Drosophila melanogaster: one gene and its partners. Changing the gene in region 1 together with any one later gene gives a genetic interaction. Each region holds a gene or a part of one and is shown on either strand. Other genes may lie near its edges.

Region 1 (7,745 bases):
CCGCCTCCGGATCGTGGCAAGATCTCAAGGATCACATGCGCGAGGCCGGCGACGTCTGCTTCGCGGACACTTACAAGGATGGTTCCGGCGTCGTTGAGTTCCTGCGCCACGAGGACATGAAGTACGCAATCAAAAAATTGGACGACTCTCGCTTCCGATCGCATGAGGTATGTAAATTGTCCAGTTCCAACTTTGTAAAATTCAAATGTATTCGGGTTTCAAGGTAGAGAATTTACTTTTGCATTTATTTTGTCAGCATACATTATTCACAGGCTGGAATAATTAAATATGATTTCAGGAATAACATTAAGTTATATTGGTGTAGATGCTTACACTTACGCCCTTAAATGTGTCAATTTGATAAACATCTAGTTCACATTCCTGTTTACATTTTGAAAAATAGTTTGGCGACATTATTCAAATGATATTAATATTTTTATTGTCTTTAGGGCGAGGTTGCCTACATTCGCGTACGCGAGGATAGCGGTGATAACGACAGAGGCGGTGGTGGTGGCGGCAGCGGTGGAGGTGGTGGCGGCAGCGGCGGAGGTGGAAGCCGTGACTACCGCGACAGGTAAACCAAATATTACCACAGTTCATTTTTCAATATTTATTCTATGAATCCCTCCACAGATCCCGTTCGCGCTCATTCTCGTCGAGGCCGCGCCGTCGTGGCACTCCCACATACTCCCCAGTGCGACGTCAATCTTATTCCAGGTCTCGCTCACGTTCTAACTATTAAACACAACCAAGCATTATCCATTAATCTATAATATTTTAATGAGCAGGAAACAGGAAAAGCAAGCTATATTAGGAAATACCAATCAATATTTGTTCAAGACCCCTCAAATACCCCAATTGTAAATTGATTTGTAAAATGAAATCAACGACCAATCAAGTTTGTTCAGTCAAGTTCCGAACTCTCACCGAAGCCAACATACTTAAAAAAGAAAAACACTTGCTTTTCCAACTTATCACACGTTCTAAGAAGCAGAAATGTTCTCTTAAGTTATAATCCACCGGGCAAAATTTGACAAAAACAGTTCTAAAATGACAACTGTAAACCAAGGAATTCTCTTTGGCCAAAAGCACTCGGCATTCCTTGATTTGCTTTTGATTATCTTTTGAGCCTTTGCTCAGTCTGCTTCCTACATATTATATTATAACTCTTATTTTGGCTGCACGTTTTCCAAGCTAATTTATTAGAATCTACCTTAACGAAAACAAGAAACATCGATACAGAATAAATATGTTTGTAATGAGATAAAGAAAAGAAACAGAAATCCGAACACAACGCAATGTCAACCACATTGATAAGCAAACTATTAATACTTTAATTTTTATTTTCTTCTCTTCCCCATTTTGCGCGTTTATGTTTGGAGAGTGATGAGGATGTGGAGGATGAGGATTAATGGATGTGGAGGAGGATATTTTGATGTTGATTTTGGCGTGGATTGGATAAATTTGGATTGAATTTAGTGGAGGCAGGACCTGTCTATAGATCTTATAAATATGAAAATATTTATTTGATTGTAATCAGGATTGGATTTGGATTTAGGATTGTTCTGAGCCCTTCGCTAGGACAACGTGGGATGCAGTGTCCCATGGCTAACTCGCACCTCGGAGGAGGAGGAGACAGGAATTTCGCATTGTTGAAGGATTTTATGTGTGAACTTTGGTCGTGTTCAGGTTAACGGATGTTTGGAGGAGGAGAATGTCGATGGCATCGTTGACGGTGAGGAACACTTGCGTTGCCCTTGGACAGGACTAAATCATACAGTTTCGGACTCGGCCGCATCTCTTCGAGCCTCGCCCCTTCTTCGGCATCTGCCTAACGGTCGGGATTAGGATTCGCTTGGACAGGCTCACACGCTTTGTTGTCGCCTTCTTTGGATCGCACTTCAGAAACTAGCTCACCCAGGGAACCGCGTATTTCGTGGCCTTCGCGCCCCTGTCGTTGTCATTTCACGGATTTGCTGTGCATCATCCAACGTTGACTTGCGCCCAACGCTGGATAGTGGATAGTGGTTCTTGGTCTGGTCCGATCCGATGCGTTCCGGTCTCCCTCTGTCTCGCCTCTCTGTGGTATGTTAGATTGCCACATCAAATTTAACTTTTAATTTGCGTTATTTAGTTTATAATTTATATACTCTTTACCCAAATCTTTCGTCTCCATTGATATTGTTGCCTCTGAAATGTGGCGATTGTCGCGTGTGCGTTTTGTTTTTCATTTTTTTTGAATAGAAGGGCGAAAATTCATAGGCCCCGACTATAGCCCACACCCGCATCATTTGCATGAACTTTCGTTAACCTAATAAAAAGTAATACCACAGCAATTTTGGAACAGAACAGTTCTCTCGTTCTCCTTGCTTATCGATCAACATATAAGCCATAGTTCTAACATATTTTTGAAATGAAATACACATTTACAATAAATATTCATAAAAATTAAGAAAAATGTCATGCTTTTAATACAACATTATAAGATGGGTGCAATCAAATACTTTTAGCAATTTATCTTGCTGAGATTATGAGCTTAAAATTAGACTGCTAGACTCGTGTAGCAGGTATTTGTGTTTATGGGATGTTCCTGTACTTATGAAGATTACAAATTAAGTTTGCTTGTATTATCTGCAGGAAAGACTTCTGTTCTGGATTTCACAACCTTTGCATTCCGAATCAATTTTAAACTTCCCGCTTATGGATTTTTACAGAGGACTGTTATTAGGGCAATGATGACCGTATTGTTTTAACGCAAAATACCAGATTTCTCTGTGCGAAAAACGATTTTTGGTCACTTTGCAGCACGGCCACACTGGCAAACAAACTATATAAGCAACACGCGCATTTTGTTGTTGGGTTTTTCAAAAAATATTCACCAGCTGTTCGGACGCGCGTGGGAACTGCTCTGTGTTTGTTGTTTTTTATAATTTCGAACGGAACGAACTGGTCGCATACGGATTTTAATTTATATTTACGTACTAAGCTAACGCGCGCTGTAAAATAAAAGTAGCGTAGAATTTCTAAACCAACCATCTGACACGAGAAAAGTGCGCCAAAAGTTCGGAAAACCCGTAGAAACCCTGTTGAAAGTACGAATTGCATGTCAAAATTGCTAACCCACGTAATAATGAATAACAAATAATTCGGAAAGTGCAATTTCGTGGGCAGTCTTTCGACAGCTGAAGGAGAAGATATCGGCCCAGATAGCCGGCCCTTCGTTTATGAATTGTGTTTTGTGGCGGTGTATCCAGCTTATCTCCGCCTTGTTCGGCTCCAGTTTTATTGAACTCTACCGGATCGGACGGTACTACCCATCTGGGGATAGTCAGTGGGACTGAGGAAGCTATTAATCGATCGCGATTGTACAACCAATTACCGGGTTTATCACCTAATTCGAAGCCGCTCGGCACGACGCGAACTATAAATAGAAGCTGAAGTGTCCAAATAATCGGTAGACAGCGCTCATGATCACAATCGCAATAGTGTGTTAAAACTACAACTACTGGAAGTTTAAACAGATATATATATATATTTAGATATAGCCTGAGGTAAGAAGTGCATTTTATGGATGTTTTGCATGCCCACGGAACTGCTGAGATCATTAAAGTTGGCTATTGAAAGCGCAGCATCAGCGAATTCCCCCTAGGAGTCATTGTTCTCGCTTGAAACTTAAAAGGTTTTTTTATTGATCATAACTTGAAATTAGTTTTACGGGGGGAAGATCGACTGATCCAAGCAAATCATGCGATACTAGTCGTTTGTGGTCCTCATCAGGCATCCCAACTTGTTTGGTCTTTGTTCTACCGACTGTTCAACAGCACTTCCTCAATATTCCTGAGTGAAAGTAAGGCTTGGCTTCGATCGTTTGACATTGGTAATGTGACCCACTTAGGAGTAGGGTGCTTCTTTGGTAACTCGATCTGTCAAGCCAGAGGTGTTGCCTTGTGGCTACCTACTACCTAACTAACTGCTTGCAATACAACCTGCGTAGGGTCTTCAAGGTCTCCTCCCCGTCGGTTTCCTGTTCATCTAAGCAACCACTGTGAGAAAACTTGAGCTGTCTGTAGGAACACCTAGCATCAATATACAATTATGTGTGTAAAATAAGCATCCATATTCAGCAGCAATTTTTAGAATCCAGTTTAATTGTATTATGAGTATACATTGTATCTAGGGTTCCATACATTTCTTGCTAGTTATTTGTAGCAGTGCATATGTGTGCAGGCAGCTCGTTTGAATCCCTTGTGCGTCTCTAATCGGAGACCTGCCCATATGACCGGGCTCTGCTCTTTGTCCTCCCCGGCGTGTTAATCTTTTGTTGTGATGAGATGCTTATCACACCTACCGCCGCCTTGCGACAGGTGCATTCTGAAGTTTCCGCTGGAGCGAACCGCAACTGGAAACTGGCAACTGGCAACTGGCAGCCGTGGAAATGGGAAACCCTTTTCGCTCGACCATTCAAGTGCCGCTGTTCGTTTGACCGAATGATTGACGGGCGGCAACTGTGACCCCTTAACCCCTTGTTGCCGGCACTCAATGGGCCGCATCGCGTAAGCAATTTATGTTAATTGTTGTTTGCCTGTTGTGCCTTGCCTTTTGGACCGGGTCCATTCACTAATCGCTTGGAGGAAATTTAATTTAATGCGTATAACGAAACCACCCTTAAAATTTACCGATTGCTGACTAATTGTGGGAATTTTTAAATAATACCAGATACCCAATAGCAAGACAACTTTTTGCCTTAACTGGCAATTCGAAGTAAAACAAAAGATTTGTTTGCTAGATGATATGATTAAGTCGCAACATCAACAGATAAGATAATTTTTTGTTTATATAGAAGAAATAATATCTCTGCAATTCTGCAAAAAATGGTGTCCCATAGTTTCAGGGAATTCATTTCGAAAGCTTGAAAAATGCGCTACAAGCTTAAAAAATTTAAATTTAATAGTATGTCTTAAGGGTATTTCAGTTTCGTACAGATTTGTTTGCATTGAAGTACCTTGTATTTTCCAAAGCCAGTCTGGACAAGCATTTAATTAGACACTTTTTACTTTTCCCAGCATAAGACACCAACTTTTATCCGCCGCGGCAACAAGTTGAAGACACGAGTCTGGCCCGTCTGTCTAATTGTTTTGACTGTGGCAATTTCTCCTGGTCTTTTTAGAGTTGCAGTCCGAGCTGGAGTGTGGCGGCCAGGAACTGGTTTGCCCGCTCCACGCAATCCCAGAGCTTTAATTCGGTCAATTCAGCGGGAGCGGCATAAGGCGGCTAAGGCTCATGATGATGATGATGACGATGACTAACGCTGGCCCCAAGGCACCGACCAGGCAACGAGAACGATCCAATTTGGCCTTTTACCGCAATCAGGTTTGGGATTCGGTTTTAGTTTTCGGTTTTGGTCCGCTCGATACGATACGTCAACGGGCCGACCGAATGGATGAATGAATGAATGCCCAGCTGAATGAGCGATTGGTGGCTGAATTATTCAGCTGGCCGGCAATCCATCATGCTGTCCTCGGAACTGGTTGACCAACACCACTTAATGAGTGGAAAAGGCGTCTCCGACATTTCCCATTTGCATCCCCATTCCCCGACGATTCATGCGATTCCCCATCCCCATCCCCACGCAGAGTCATTAGCCAGCCGCAAACTATGCCTATATGGGCTGATACCCCGTCAAACATGGCTCGCATTAAATACAGCCATAAAATCGGCCGGGAGGCGTGTACCATGGGGCACGCGTTTGGGGCGCCGTTTAATTGCGGTGCGCGATTTGCAAGCGTTTTTAAACGCCTCAATTTGCATTTGCATACTCACTGTCTTCGCTCTATGAATGGAAAATTGAACGCCCAATGGAGCAGTTGGTTATGCATGTCACTATAATAGTGAGGCAAGTGCAAATTAACACATGCACTGGGGCATCAATTTCAATTATTCTTTGTCCCTCTGAAAACTGATAAGGACAATGGGTGACGAGCTCGCACTATCTTGGGTTAATTGAGTAGTGAATTAAGTTTTATTGAAAAGTTTTAGAAACTATTAGAGATAGGAAGCTGGACGGACGCAGGTCGGCGGTGGGACATTCAAATAGGGCATGCTTAATATTAGTTTTTTCGGCTAGACCATATGTCTAAGAAATTAAATCCTATGTACTTCTTAAATCGTATATTTTTCATCAAAATAACTAAATTCAAAGCCATAGCATAGTAAATTGTATTTATTTTTAGCTTTGCTCTGCTAGACGCACCATTAACTTATCGTGCACCATCGGTTTGTAGTCCTATTTTACGACTTAGCCGCATGTCTGGCCGCAAGGCGCGTTTAAAAACGCCAGTGAAAAGCCAGCAAATCGCGTCAAACATTAAAAACATTACCCTGAACCGAGAGGGTTGGCCCTGGTAATTGTAAGCGGCTATTAAAATAATTTAACGCGCCTCCGTTTGCTGGCTAAAGGCCGCAAGGACGGGGCAGTAAGCATTACCCAGCCAGCCCGAAGGGATTAACATAATTTTTGCTAATATTGTGAGCGTGGCTCGCAGCACATAATGCGCTTAGAAATATGAAATGAATAAAGACTGCATTAACCTGAATGGTGGCAACGGCAGCAGGAGCAGCTTCAGCAGCTGCAGGAAGGATTGCGGCCACGGATTGTGGAGTGGTGCACGCAGGCTGAGCTGAGCCCAAAACTTAAGGGTGACGAGGAGGTAGGCGGCGGAAAAAGGAGCATGATCCATGATGAGCTGTGCGGCAGGAATGCGCCAAAAGGCAGCGACGCCGACTGCATTAAAGTGGAAAATCCTGTCTGACAACATTTAAACCGAAAAGAAATATATATGTACACAAACCTATAGTAAATATGTGCAAAATAAAGCCAACAACAAAAAACCACAAACAACACATAATAAGCGTGAAAAAAGGCAAAATGAGAGCAAAACCAACCCAGTGCAATTCCCAGACTTGGTTCCACTCCGGGCCAGAAAGGATAAAGTGGGCAATGAATAGGCAGTGTGGCTAGAAGAGCAAACCACCAACAAACAAAGGAAAGAAAACAAAACGAGAAAATTGTCTTCAACTGCTAGACGGAATGAAATGATACCCTAGAAAAAGTAAACAATTTAAAATTTTTTATCGTTTTCAAGATAGAAAATCCACCGCAAAAGATCACATTCACACATAGTGAACATTCTGAAATAGTAGTGATGCAGATCAATATTTACACTGTCTATCATTGTTGTAGTTTCAAAACAAACGTAAAACCAAATACTTTTTAAACATGTATCCAAAGTAACAATAATAATGCCGTTGTCATGCTTTATCTATACTCAAAGAATTTAGATTAGCCTACAATTCATAAATGTTCAAAGAGAACTGAAACATCATGCGATTATGATTAACCAATTGCTGAAAATATTTCGGACACCTGATCCACAGGCCCACTCAGCTCTAAAAGCATTCCGATTTGCACATTTTCGCGATTTCGTTTCCAAAGAAGGACGGCGCTAAGAACCGCATTTATAACATCAATAAAAGTTCGTGTTTGTTTACGTGGAAAACAAATTAATAATGGAAAATCACATGTGGTTTTTCACAAACCAAACACAAAAATCGAATAACTCACCCACTCGCACATGTACATATACGAAGAAAAGCAATTAAAATCGCGAAAAAAAACAATAAATTTGTGCGATTTTGGTTTGGCAAATCGCCCTTCGCCCAAAAATCTAAATATGAAGTTAAAAATG
Region 2 (7,496 bases), on another chromosome or scaffold:
GAATGCAAAGTGGTCCTAACGGTAGCCGGCTAGCCGTCATTAAAATATATCCATATATATATCTGCGGCGATATCGGTGGTTTTGCCACTTATGTATTTATAAACCCAACAATCTGGTTCCCCTCCTCAATACAAATGAATTATGCAAAATGCAGGAATTCAGATAAATTAGGTTTAACAAAATCATTGACAAATACCCTAGTCGATAACGTTTTAATAATGGTGAATTGATTTTATTTGACAGTATTCATTATAAATTTCGATTAAGATGTGCACAAGCTTAATTTATGAATGCCATCAATTTTGTTACGTTGAAAATATAAATTTAAATCAATTATTTCCATGCAGAATTATAAGTTAACAAATAAGATAGCATTTGTAATGTTTTAACATAAGTATACTATTTAAGAAGTATCTCCATTCCCAGCTTTTTCAAACCTAACTTGCCCCATTCTTCTAGTTCTCACCCCATCCCCTTGAGATTTTTCCACTCTGCACTACGCTTACAACAGGTTTGGATATTTTTCGGGTCGTCTTAGCCGCTCGTCGTCTGATGTTTGCCGCCAAACAACGAAATTGACAAGAGCTCGCTCCTCAGCACCAGATGAGTAGTTTCCATTGTTGATTAGTTCAACTGCGCCAACTGCGGCCACAATGAACCACCAACCAACCAAAAAAAAATAAAACAAAAAAACAAGTAAAATAAATACAAACAAAAAGATTTCACGTGTGCGTGCGCGGATTTACGTTTGAGTAAACACCGGCAAAGAAACAGATACAGATACAGATACACCTAGAGATACGGGTGAGCGTACGTTGCACTTGTTGTTTACCTGTCGTGGGGGGGGGAGAGGTAAATAATAATAAAAAAACGAAAGAAAACGGCAGCGCCGACGAACAGAAAACAAAAACAGAGGCGGCGTGGCCAAAGGAAAAATGTTCACAAGCGCCGCTTAATTACCCTATATAGAGTCTTAAGTTGCGCTATTAATTGCGGGCACTGCTTATTAATATTTTGCCTTATTTTCTTCTTTTTTCCACCTTTTTTTTTAACTCACACCCCCCCTCCCTCCGTTCCTCGCCGACTGGCGAAGCTGACAAAGGAGCGATTCCATGCGATTCGATTCGAATCGAATGTCTGGGGGCTGGCTGGCAGCCAACTACTTGTCGCACCGATTATATTGTCAGTTTTTATTAATTGCTGCAAATACTCGGTCGCGTTTGCGACGCGATGGCGCTAAGCGTTCTTTATATGCACAGTTTATATTTCTTTTCATTTCCACTTTTTTTCATTTATTAAACAAAATCGAGTATACGCCCCGTTGTGACTGGAATTGATTTGATTCGATTGCGGTGGCAATTGACTGCGAATGTGCGCCCCTTTTAAGTGTTTTTAATCGAATTGCCATTTGCATTAGCTTAGGGATTGCGAGTTATGCCAATTCGTGAAAGTTGATTTGATCTAAAATAGATTAAGGGCATATTTGCAATGGCTTATGCCAATTATTCTGATATTTCAATTGTAATTTGTCCATTGATTATACCCGACTATTACAATCTTTTATATACAAATATAACAAAGCTAAGATCCTAATTTTAAAACAATATGCCTTAAAATTAGTTATATTTATAAAGAAAAATTGTTTAAAAAAATTCTAACATACATACAAAAAATAAATTGTTTTTTTCACAATTTCTGCTAGTTGTTTGACTTAGCGAGGCTTGCCTGTACCTTGAATTATCTAAGCACAATCCATAACGACCTTGTCCAAATCAAAGGGAGGCCGTCGTCGCTGTGATCGGAAAAGTAGGGGCAGCTCCACTTCGCTGCTATTGTTGTTGTTATTCTTGGCGCACTTGCAGCAGCAACAACAACAATACCATACGCTATAACAACAACTACAAACGGACGAGCGCTTTTTCAGTCACTCGCAGCTTATCGCAATACGCTTAAACAAACAGCGGTCTGGGGCATAAATAAACTTCCGTTGCCGTTCTCATGGCACTTGTTGTTCTTGTTCTTGTTATTGTTATTATTGTTGTTGTTGTGGTTCCTGCTGCCAGTTTGTTTGATTTGCGTTTCCCCATCTCTTTCACTCCACCCATATCGCTGTCTCTGTCCCGGTCTCTCTGTTGTTTGCCGGCTTTCAATTGCCTTCAGTTTGCGCGCGTAACCAGAATCGTTACGAAAGAGAGCGCGCTCTTAATAAATAAAATAAAAAAGTTTTAAAAAAATATCGCCGAAATGTAAGCGATCGTATTGGGAACACAGAGAACAATAGCAATATTTATTAAACCGATTTCAAGGTAGTCTTTGTCATAAAGGACCCTTTTCAAATTTACCAAACAACAATGATTATATAATATAATATTGTCAGTAAAATATGTTTTAAAAAAAAACAAATATTTTGTACTGTTTCGCTTAAATTAATATTTTAAAATTAAAATAAAATTAAGATTCAACTTTTTTAGCTGGACCTTAGTCATCTTTATGGTTTTTCGCACTGCACAACTTTGCGCGCTAATTTTCCATGGTAATTTGCTAACTTTCCCACTTTTACCTGCCTAATCCTGGGCAGCTGTAAATGATTGATTTGTTCAGCGGTTGTGACCTGAATTGCGTTTTTCTTTTGTTTTTTTTTTGTAATGCAATGCTTAGAATACGTAAAGCCACGGGCCTAGGCGCTCATAATTGCAGTTCCCGAAACGCTGAACGCTCCGCCCCTTATGGTTTCAGTTGTTTTCCTCTGCCTGGCGGGCATAAAAATACACCTGTTTGCGGCAATTTAATACTTTTTATGGCAGGGAAATAACGCAGTGGCTGCTGTTGTTGCCGCTGCCGTTGCTACTGCATTGCTGGCATGGCAAAGGCGCAGGTAATTCGGAAGCAGCCTCAAATGAAGCCGCAGGCAAGCGGGAATGGGAATGGGAATGGGAATCCGAAGGGGTATATGGGTATGGGTATGGGTATGAAGCGGTAGTGGAGCGGCAACAACAAAAGCGAAGCCGCCGAAACGTGTAGCCAGTGCCAACAGCAGCGTTATTAGACCGGCCTGATCTGAGTATCTGCATCTGTATTTGTATCTGTATCTGAGTATCTGTATCTGTGGATGTGCGCACGTCTGCCAAGCGGTCGCCTTTACCGCTGCTGCCCGCTGATCGCTTTTTACTCCGAGCGCGCTAAACCCGTGCCGTTTTCGGCTTTGTACTTTGCCGCCCATGGACTCGTGTATGTTTGCGGCATGTTGCAAAGCAGATCGAAGCTGGCCAGCAGGGCACCGAGAGAAATTTTTTTGGGGATCTTAAACAGTAATATGATTTTCATAGTTTCCGTTGAAGAGCGGTCAGTTAATAAAGGATCAAATGTAAACGAACTGAATAGAAACAAAATCAATGTTCGATTAGCAGTTGTACTAGCCAATAGTCAACGTAACTATAATCAATTAACACAGCATTTAGATATATTCAGCTGGCTGATTTTATCTAAAACGTTTAGCAGTCTGTTTTGAACATTTATATAATCAGTCATTTTCATCTTAACTTACAAAGCTTGAGGAAATGATCAGCAAGATATTCACTCTAGTTTTAAATAACCAATAAAATTGTTTGCCGTGCACTTCGGGCCAACTACAAAAACCCAAGGCATCGTCGTCGCACTCATTGATCTTAACTTTGAAAACAGTAGCTACTACGGCCGAGGAGTGGAGTAGATGTGGCTGTGGCATGGCTATGGGGATGTGGGGATCCGGGGATGTGTGGATCTCGAGCTTGAAGCGAAGTGGGGCGCACGAAGGCGGCCTGCACTTTGTTGTTGCTGCTGCTGATGAGGGTTTTTGGTTAGCTACACTTAAAGACCCATTCCCCGCTCATTTCTGTCGGCCTTTTTGTTTTCTTCTCATCCGCATCGGAACCCTCCCCCCTTACACCCCCCCCCCCCTTCACATCACCAATCTGCAACTTATTTTTCTTTGCTGTTTTTGTTTTCCGCCTTTTCTGTGGCTTTTTGCGCACGCAGGCAAATTTAATCTCGTTTTTTATGCCCTTGCAAAGGATTTTCAAATTGATTTCGACCCGACTATGCAAATGTCGTAAATAAAGCTGTAGAGGGTTTTCAGTTTTTGGTGTTTTCTCAACCGAGTTCTCACAACCTGGCCAGCGGCATAAGTCGGAAGCTATTAATTTTAATTGACGTGCTACTGTATTTTTTGGGGTTTCAGCTTAAGCGGCAACTTTTGATATCCCCTTTCCCTCTTTCGATTATATTCATTTTTATTTATTTATTTTTTGATAATATTTCGCAGCAGCTTCATATTTCATTTGTGGGGCTACCGTATTGCGGCGTTCGCTTTTGATAACTCACCTGCTGTGGCTTAATCCATTTATTTGTAGCTTCTCCGGCTTTAGCTGCCATTTTATCAATTTGTTCGACTGCCATTTTCGATTCGATTACACATAGATATAGAATAGATTAAATATAGATTTTCTGTTGTTTGTTTTGCTTATTTATTATTTTTTTGTATAATATTTGTTCAGCACAGTTTTGAGCACTTTTTGGGGCGCTGCATTGTATGCGATCGGTATTGATTTTTGTTTTGGCACTTATAAACTTGTGATTTTGATTTCTTTAGAAGGGCGGGGGAATATTTTTTTCTGATTTCTCGTCATTCAACTGTGAAGTATAATGTATTTGATGCGATTCTGTTTTCAATTCTGGTGATAGCACTGCGATGTTTCGTTATCTGCGGCACGGCACACGCGCTCAAAACGTCCGCTCACGTCGAATGCTCGCCACGGAATGAAATTTTTACCTTGCGCTGTGGAAGTGCCGAAGTTGCTGTTGCTGCTCTGCTACCGCCGCTGCTGCTGTCGCCTTCGCTGCTGCGGTCGACGTCGTTGCTCTCTCTCTCTCTCACGTGCTCTCGCCTTCTCGCTTCGCAGCGGTACTGCGTTTTTGTTTAGAATACGCAAAATAATAACAAAACTAATAATAAACTGCAGGGCAATGCAATTTGAGAGAATCGCGGGCAGCGCTGCAACTGCGACGCCAACTGAGGCGGTGGCAGTGGCAGCAACAGCAGCAGCTACTTGTTAATAAGCGTATTAAGGTTCCCTTTGATCTGCTTAATCGAATGCCGAAATGAAACGCAACGCGCTTCTGGTCTTCTCGCTCGAGTTCGTTGCCTAAGTCTTTTGTTTTTTGACTGCGCCTTTTTTTTTCGTTTTGCTCGGTTAATGCTAATTTAGTGTAATTGCAATTATAATGCAAACTCTCATAATTCGCTCATCGCATATATATGCTTTTATTGTTTTCCCTTTATTTTTTATATTATTTTTTTTTTTTTGGCTGGGTCATTTGGTGTTTTATGGCTGTCGGCATTTCGTGGAAACGGAGCAATTTTGATATGGCCCTGGACATTCGGCAGCTTGGATGCGGCTTAAAGACATAAAATCTCAATAAAGTAGCCAGCGACTTTTATCTAATTGTAAATCTAAAGGCGAATTCCCCGTTCCCGCAGCAGACCCTTGCCACACTCTTCTTCTTCTATAAAGCAAACTCAATTAATAAGAGATCATTAAAAATTCTTCTCTTTTTTTGGGTCTTTTGATTTTTGCCGTATTTGGCCCCGAAATCGAAATACTTTTTACGATTTACCCCCGCCTCAACGACACCCCGTCACAAGCATAAAATTGATTCGCTTTTGCGAAAAATTTTATCACTGACCAAATTGATTTTAGCTGTTCGCCGCCGCCGAAGCGCTGCTTCAATAGAAATTGTAGGCCTAAAGGAAGAAGGCAAGCAGAGCAAAAACAAAAAAAAAAAAAAGAAATGGAAAAATGAGAAAAACAAAACAGCGCCTGAAAAAATGATGTCCAACTGGCGGCGACGGCGGCGGCAAACATAAAAGTGGGAAATAGAAAGGAGCCGGCCCGGTCGACCAGTCCGATTCAGTGCAATATTTATGCATTAAGTACACGCAATTATTATGCGACAACGGCGGCGGCAGCATCTCAGGAGATTATTGATGCTCGCATTGCTCATACGCAGCGTGGCCATCTACCATCTACCATCGACTTGGCGCTTGTGCCGTTCCAGCAATTAAAACGCCGCCAGCACGCGATGAATGCCATAAACATTTGACGCGCAATCAGCAGCAGCAGCAGCAGTTGCAGTTGCAGTTGCAACTCCTTCGGCTGCTGCAACAGCAACAGCAGCAATTACAGCAGCACAAATTCAAAGACACTCCATGACGATTTTGCCATCGGGATGATCATCTGGCTGTGATGAGTGCTACTTTTACTGCACCGTAAAATATTGTGGCATAATCAAAATATTTTAATGTTAATATATTGTTTTATTAAAGTTTAGCATTCAAATTTTAATGATTTGTTTATTACCAGCTATTTTTAGATTCGAAAGGTGCCTTTTTATTCTAAATGATACTTTAGATTGACCTCCAATCAAATTCATAAAACAGTATAAGAAAACATATAAAATATAAAAAATAAATTAATGTAATTACTTATTATGGAATACAATATAATGGTTTCTTATAAACGAAAGTCACAAAGTTTATATACATATTCTGATAAGTGTCAAAAACAATTTGTATTATTTTCGTTGTTCACCTAAAAACTTTACTTTACCGCAGCACGCAAAGCGGTGATGTTTCCAACCCCAGCAAGGTGTGCTACTTTTACTACACTGCAACAAAACCTTTGTCCAAAATGAATTAACTAAACATTTTAGCTGACTTGGTTAAAAACAAGTACTCACTGAAAAACTAGATAGTTAGTATTTGTTGATTTGATAAAGCATACTCAAATGGTTTTTATTGATCCCAAAAAGCATACATTTTCTTGCGGTGTGGGGCCAGGAAAAACAGATCACGGGCGGACGGACATGGACATTCATTTCGCTTAAGCGCACTAACCGGGTAAACTGGTCGGTGTCTTTGATCCTGGCATTCTATTGTTCCGTTTCAAAGGCCACTATTATGTAAACAATCGGCGGCTTTGATCTTGGCCGCATCAAAGTTGTGCCGCCGCGTTTCATCTTCTGCCGCATGCAGCAAATAGCAAGCAGCAAGCAACAAGCAGCAGCGCCAGCTGATGCGATGCCCCAGCGGAAGATGATGACGGTGATGATGATGATGATGATGATGATGATGATGAGGATGATGACGATGACGATGACGAGAAAGAGGACGGCGAGGAAGCGACAGGCACTGCGTAGTTAAAGCTGCTACATCGCTACCAACGCTGCTGAGCTATATAATTTCGCATAGGCCGATCCGATCACCTGGAGAACGGAGCACCTGGAATACAGAGCCTCTACCGCAACCTCATAACTTTGGGCATAATCTTCAAAGCGCCGACCGACCGATCGCTTGACATCAATCGAGTCGGCCATTCGGCCGCTCTAATCCCAACAGATGGGCTCCCGGATCGCCGGTCGCCGATAAGCAATTAAAATTTCATTTAATGCACAACTTTAT
Region 3 (7,610 bases), 3.7 Mb from region 1:
TGCGTAAACAATTGCAGATCGGACGTCACAGCAATCACGAAATTCTCCAGCCGCAATTTATTTAAAACTCAAACATACTCAAACAACTTGAACGCGGTATTTAATTAATGGCTTTTTATCAAGACTGAATAAATATTCAGTGATTTAAAATTTGCATAAATTGAAATAAATAAAACCAAATTAGAAAAAAATATAGCATTTCAACGAGGCAGAGCATTAAATATTCCGAGCAAGAGTCAACGATGTTGTTTATGTTCAACTGGCAGATAGTGTTTACACATTTGTGGCTACTTTAGAAATGGAACAAACACTGCGAAGATAACTGTCAAATAAAGTTTCCTCTTTTACTGACCAATATTGTATGCCACAGGCTGTAAATTAAAGCTGAAATTTAAAAATGTGTCAGAAACAAAGCAATGTAACTATTCAAGTACTTATTAACCTGTCAATGATTGTTTCTTTTAGCAGTTTTAATAAATAGACTTCAATTACATTTTTTGCTATTAAGTTAAAACCTTTTTACTTTGTTTTAAGAACTCATAAACAATAATTTTTTTAGATTTAATATAGTAAAATGCACCTATTGTATATACCGAAAAAACGGAGCTGTTTGAAAACAAACCCGCCAAAGCAATCAATTCTGTTTTCCTTTCAATACCAAATTAAATGCGATTCAGTTTATCGAACAGTAGCAATTTATATTTTTTATTATCTGCCTGTCATATTATTAAATCATTTTTTCCTCGCAAGTAATGTAACATTACTGGCTTAATGATCTGAAAGAGGACTGTTACTGCTACTTAAGTTCAGCAAAGAAGGACAATTAAAAATAGCTTGTAATTTATCAGGCCAAGTAGCAAGAGTTAAAGTATTCCGGGAACAAAGTACTCCCATTGCGACCGAGTAATTTATATTCAACTTGGCCCATTAAGGTTACAAATCTGAAAGAATCACCGAAATGGGCCGCCCTCGCATCCCAAATAATAGAATAATCTGTCTGTTTTCCATTGGACACGCAACCTCATGAGCCCAATTTTCATGTTTGCCTTTCGCCACACTAATACAAGCACTAAGCATATTTTTCGTTTATGGCGCGTACAACTAATTAAGCTATTTTTAAAGACGGCGAATTTTCCAACGTACGCATCGGCAGGGGGCGTGGCCACGCCCTGCTCGTCACTATGTCTGGCCAGATCGCGTGCGGAAAACAGGGAAAACCAGAGGGCGAGGCAGCTGCGCTCAATTAATGTCATTTTGGCTAGCTATTTCAATTTGGAAAATAGTTTAATGCTCACTGCAGACAGACCCGCCGATAGCAAAAAGCGAAAAGCACGAAAATATATAGAATAAACATTTATATACATATATCTGTATCATAAACACAGCCATTTGACATTGAACTCTTGCTAAAAGTCACGCCCACTTGACTTCTTTTTCGGTTCTTGGAGCATCAACGAATTTGTTTCTTGTTTAATTAAAGACCGCCAGAACGAAATTGAAACATTTTTCAACAGCCACACATATGATAGAACTCATCGAGGCGTATGTATTTATGTATGTACATATATTAAATTTTTGTTTCGCCTGCAATTGGCAATTGATGACCTTCTTCAAACAATTTCATCGTGGCTTTTTTTAGACGTGACTGGCACGAGCTGGATTAATAGTTAAATATATCCAAAGTACGCAAGTATATGAACACCGCGAGGCAGCAAAAATTGAAGGAATAGCGACTGGTGCGGGTTTATGTGTCCCCAGGGTAGAATTTTATGTGCTGTTTTGCCTCGGTTCGGTTTTTATGGCCCACGAATGCACTTTACACCTCGGCCATTAAATCATTCATTAGATGCGCGGGGGGAAGCCTTATTAGTCCAACAGATAAGACAAATTTCAATCAACCACGCCGAAGATTTATGGGCGATATTATGAGTAGTGACCCAAATATACCAACCAGAAATCCATAGTTGTTTGTAAACTTTATGCTACAGATTAGACTAATTTCAATACGGGGCACGCGTGTCAAAGATTTATGAATAATAACACAGAAGCACAATCGCCTGCAAGCGAAATCTTATTATGTTACACATTTTCCATTTTTGGAGGAATTTCATTAGCACCTTTGCGTTTGCGTAAACAATTTCCGAGTTTTAAAGGCGCCAACCGAAAGGCTGTAAACAAAACATTTTGTTTTGTCTAATTAAAGCTCCCAAAAAATTGATAAACATCGAGAAAGAGTTCTATATTATAAAAGCTGTCTTTAGCGCCGAAGGGAAAAACACTCCAACGCATATTTTTATACGAATATTTTAAATAATAAATTTATTAATGCGCCATAGCAAAACAAGTTTCGTGCGATCCAAAAATGTATGAATGGTAATTCCAATAAAAGCACACATGTACGGCAAATATTAATGAATAAATTCAGCATTTCGCCAATTGGTGTGCTAATTTGCATTGGAGCCAAGTAACAGAAAATTATAAATTATAAGCAATGGGAATTAATGAGGGGATTTGGCACTTACCTGATCTTGACAAAAGTATCCAAATCCGATGATGCCGGCGATGGCCAGGAAGAGGCAAAACACAATGATTGTTCGGATTTTGGAGCGCGGTTCCATTTTCTTGATTTCATAAACACCACTGGGCAGCAATAAGGCAAAATCACTATCGACTTGAACAGATACGTTCTTATGCATATCCCCGGGCATGTTCCATTCCCTGGCCTCCCTCGAAAATCGCACTAAAGGTCCAACAAGGGTCCACCCGAGTGGAGTCCAAGCGGGTATCCGTATCGGCCTAGCGCAACGAGAACCAGACGCGAATCGGAGGCGAGGCCAACTCAATCATACTTCAGTCGCTGCCCGATAAGAACTCGAAAAATGGGAACACCTTCGCCCATTGCACTTGGCGCGGAAATGGGTTTTCCTTGTCTCTCGGCTTTCAGTGCCTGCAAATGGAGTAAGAGTGAAAAACGGTTAGAAACCTATTAGTTTTGGGAGCACTACAAAAGCAACACCGTTTCCGATTAGTTACCACTTGACCATGCCGATAAAGCGGTCTGTCAAATTGTCTAGCCCTTATCTAGCCACTTACTTAGTAGCTGAAAGCTCTTCAGGGGAAAATCAAAAATAGTTTTTAAGAACCTAAATCTATGGCAGACTGATAAGAAGTTCACAATTAAAACGTACATACATAGTTAATTGGACTTTCTATTTTTTTGTTAGGGTCAAAAACTGATAAGCAGGCGGTGAAGTTGATTTATCGTTTAATCTGACCCTATTTTAATTGCAAATCTATTAGTAAGTATTCAAGACGGGCGTGAATAACAAACGTTTGTGCAATAACAAATTTATCTTTATTTGTGTGGGAAATCTTAAATTAAATTTCCACGCGCGAATGCGATCTGCAAATGTATAGCGTAACGATAAAATACATAAATCAACCAATAATGACGCAATAGTGGAAAGTGAATGGCGGAGCCGAAAGCAATGCATTTAGTATACCCTTAATCAATTAAAAATACGTTTAAATACGTTTATTATTTAAAGCAAAAAACCTACATCCGTACATGATAATACGTGCAATTACTCAAATAATAACTTATTATAGTTAAAAAATAGTTTGTACTTATTTCATTTAATATTTAAATTATCTAGTGATTCTTTATTTATAAGAACATATTGTAGTTCAGTTATAAAAATAGTTATCAATAATATGGTAAATATAATGAATGAACAGCCTTTGTTGTATGGGTGATTATTATCACAAGTCGCTTTATCTGGCTTCGATATTGTTTATATGTGATAAACCCGATTGGAAAATGCGTAACATATTAGGGTTTGAATGATATTGACTACATGCGAGTAAGTTGCATTTAGGTAGGGTATTTAAATGTACAAACACCCAACTAAAATAACTGGCGATCGGCAGTCGGAGTGACGCCCAAGCATAACTGGTGCCTTATATTTATGTAGGCGCTTTTTACTTCACGATCGGTGCTTCTGTAGCGATCACAATTATTGTAAACAAATGGAAAAGTTGCTTATTGGCAAATTGGACTAACAGAGAGACAAGAAAAAAAAGGCAGATGTGGCGAAACATGTTGCCAGGCAACAATAACAAAAAAGCATGCATGCTGTGCACACATGGCCGTTTAATTCACTTCTCTGTACTCTAAACTATACTTAAACCATGCTAATTGCCTACCCAAATTATCAGGTTTTTCGAGGCAGTGACGTCAGGGCAAGGAGTATAATTATAATAATAGAATCAAACGATTTAGCAACATTGCAGTAAAAAAAAACAGAAGCAAAGGGGAGCAACAAAAACAGAGAGAGGGCAAAATAAGAGAGAGGACAACCAGACAGAGCGAGATGCCAAACAACAGCTGTTCTTCTTGCCAGATGCGAAATGGGCAATTTAATGAAATTTATCTAGATTTCACTCACTTTTCACTTGCCAAACGTCGTGTTTGTGCACTTTTCACAATTGTCGCGGCGTCACACGTTTATTTATTTACATTTCTCTGCGTTTCAGGCGCTCGCACGCTCAATTAGCGCGCTTTCCGCTTTGTGCCACACATTCTGTGCCAGCCACAAAAAAGCCCGCAATTCGCACTTTCATGTGTTTTCGGCTATTTCTGCGATCGTTTTTCCTGCACTTGCACTGCTCAATAGCTAATGTTTAGTTAATTGACACTTTCTAAGCGTTTTGCGTATATTTTTTACGAATTATTTTGGCAAAACGACGCGGTACCAGCGTCAACGTCCGCATTCTTCAAAATCGGCGAATGAACTGAACAAAACGAACTGCGCAAGTTGGGCAATAGGAACAGCTGACCGCGCTGCCAGACTGCCGAACGGAAACTCGCTGCGAGAGTCTGGCAGCACTTGCAACCATCGATATAAACTATTGGTAACGAATATTTAAAGAATTAACTTTATAGTTCCATTGAAAATACATACATAAAACAACTATAATTATGATACCTAACATAAAACATCGTAATATCTTATTTATAGTTATCTTTTGTATGCAATATTCAATTTTAAGTTAATTAGATAAACACCAAACGTTTTTTTATTTGTGAAAATAGAAAAAGAATTCAATAGAAACAAGTTTTCAAGGCAATCTGCATATTCTTAAATCCAACTTTATGGGCACTTTTGAATATTCATTTATTTTGCAGCCCTAGCAATCGCTGAGCGATAACCATAAGTTGACTATCGATAGCAGCAGAGCGATATGCAAAACAAACGAAAAAAGTAAAAGAGCGGTGTAAAGCAGACAACATAGTTTACATTTTTTGCAACAAGTTTTTCAACTTAAAGCCAACTCCCATCGTCCAATGGAGGTGGACCAGATTCCCCTGGCCGACGTGGTCTTCGTCATCGAGGGCAGCGCCATCAACGGAGCCTACATCAACGAACTAAAGACCAACTACATCCTGCCGACTTTGGAGCACTTCACCACTGGCTCCATCGACGAGCGGGAATACCTGATTGCGGAGCGCTTTGCCACTCTGTACGGTATTGTGGTCTACCGTACAGCGGCCAATCTGCTGGAGCCAGTTTGTTCAACCTATGGTCCCTTTCTGCAGCCCCAAAAAGTGATGGAGACGATCGAAAGATTGCCACTAGTGGGAGGCGGAATGGAGTCCTGTGCCCACATGGCCGAAGGATTTGCTGCGGCCCACGGCTGTTTTGATGACATCAGCGAAAGGCGCCAGTTGCTCGATCAGACCAGCGTCCAGAGGCACTGCATTCTCATCTGCAACAGTCCGCCGTACCAGATGCCCACAACGGAGTCGTGGAAGTATCCGGGCAAATCATGTGAGCAGCTGGCGGCGCTCTTCAACGAGCGCAAAATCAATCTCTCCATTATTGCGCCACGCAAGATGCCGGTGTTGTTCAAACTTTTCATGAAGGCCGACGGAGATCAGCCCATTACGAGCAAAAACTATGCCAAGAACATAAGACACCTAGTGCTTCTAAAGGGATACAGCCTCAAGGAGAGAGCACCTAGTCCCAACAGCATGGCGGCCCAAATGGCTGCACCCAATGCGGCACAGGCTACAGTGCAGCAGCAACAACAACAGCAACAAAATCAAGCTGGTCAGCAACAACAAGGGCAGGGCATGCCCATGGACACCACTCCAGCCCAGCAGCAGCAACAGCAACAACAACAGCAGCAGCAACAGCAACAACAAGGCAATCCTCAGCAGCAGGTCATGAACATGAACACGATGCAGCAACAGCAGCCCGGTCCAAATCCCCCAGCGGGCTTACTCAATCCACAGCAGCAGCAGCAACTATTGCAGCAGCAGCAGCAGAATCAATTCGTTTCCAATCAAATGCAGAATCAGAACTTCCAGCAAAACGTGGGACCCGGCCAAAACCGCTGGATGTATCCCAACCAGCCTGGTCAGGCGCGTCCGCCCTTCATGCAGGGAGCAGGCAATGTGGGCGGTGTGGGCCAAGGCGGCGGCATGCAACAGAATCCAAATTCTGCTCTGATATCGCGCATTAATGCGCCGCCGCCGAACCAAACTGTGACCTCGCTGCAGCAGCAGCAACAGCAGCAGGCGCAGCAGCAGCAGCAGCAGCAACAACAGGCCCAACAGCAGCAGCAACAAAGGATGCAGATGCTGAGCCAGCAGCAGATGCTAAATCACCAGCAGTTGCAGCAGCAACAGCAACTGGCCCAGCAACAGCAACAGCAGCAGCAAGGACAGCAACAGCAGCAGGTAAATCCCAATGCAGGAAACAATATGATGCCGGCTAGCAATGCCGGCAACATGTCTAATCCGCAGCAGCAGCAACAACAAGTAGGACAACAGTCGAATCCGCAGCAGCAGGGCAATCCGCAGCAGCAACAGCAGGGAAATTCGCAGCAGGAGCAGGCCTCCTTGAGGGAAAAGATATGGACCGGAGTGCTGGAGTGGTCAGAGAAGCCAAAGTCCGATCAACAGAAGATTCCCCATACACTCCAGTGTACCGTGTGCACCAACATCAAAGATGGCGAGCCCGAGATCAAGGCTGAGAACTGGCCGCCCAAGCTGTTGATGCAGCTAATGCCCAAGCACCTAGTTGGCAATATTGGTGGGCAGTTTCTCAAGGACTCGAAAATGGTTGTTTTTCGACCCACTCCAGGAGAGGCACTCGATTCGCTGGCCAAGATGATGACCTCCGGCTATGCTGGCTGCGTCCACTTCTCCTCCATCCCCAACTCACCAGCCTGTGACCTTAAGGTTCTCATCCTACTCTACACGCCCGATCGCAACGCTTTTCTGGGCTTCATTCCCAATAATCAGGCAATGTTTGTGGAACGTCTGCGCAAAGTCATACAGCAAAAGCAGCACGGCAACATGCAACAGCAGCAGCAACAGCAGCAAATGATGCAGCAGCAAGGCAAGTCGCCCATGGAGCTGCAGCAGCAACAGCAACAACAACAACAGCAGCAACAGATGCAACAGGATAACTCGCAGCAGCAACACTACAACCAGTTCCAACTCAATATGCAGATGGGTGGTGGAGGTCCTGGCGGCGGACCTGGTCCCGGTCCCGGCGGCATGCCCATGCAACAGAATCAAATGCAGATGAACATGATGC

What was found. Genes that interact genetically often act in the same process or in processes that back each other up.
Region 2: of Sulf1 (region 1) and Notum, changing one enhances a phenotype caused by changing the other (phenotypic enhancement), as found in Drosophila melanogaster (one study listed by BioGRID).
Region 3: of Sulf1 (region 1) and Hs6st, changing one suppresses a phenotype caused by changing the other (phenotypic suppression), as found in Drosophila melanogaster (one study listed by BioGRID).

The regions. Positions count from the first base shown.
Region 1 is NT_033777.3:16,333,651-16,341,395, reverse strand, and holds the start of Sulf1 (sulfated), read left to right. Parts: upstream 1-1,820; 5' UTR 1,821-2,085; exon of another isoform or gene 2,086-2,453; intron 2,454-2,852; exon of another isoform or gene 2,853-3,551; intron 3,552-7,745. Other genes in the region: SF2 (splicing factor 2), read left to right, coding at 1-167, 450-574, 634-742.
Region 2 is NT_037436.4:16,020,784-16,028,279, reverse strand, and holds the start of Notum (notum), read right to left. Parts: upstream 4,801-7,496; 5' UTR 4,436-4,800; coding exon 4,361-4,435; intron 1-4,360. UniProt on the Drosophila melanogaster protein: Carboxylesterase that acts as a key negative regulator of the Wnt signaling pathway by specifically mediating depalmitoleoylation of WNT proteins. Serine palmitoleoylation of WNT proteins is required for efficient binding to frizzled receptors.
Region 3 is NT_033777.3:20,003,713-20,011,322, forward strand, and holds the start of Hs6st (heparan sulfate 6-O-sulfotransferase), read right to left. Parts: upstream 4,801-7,610; 5' UTR 4,449-4,800; intron 2,948-4,448; 5' UTR 2,709-2,947; coding exon 2,523-2,708; intron 1-2,522. Other genes in the region: MED25 (mediator complex subunit 25), read left to right, coding at 5,348-7,610.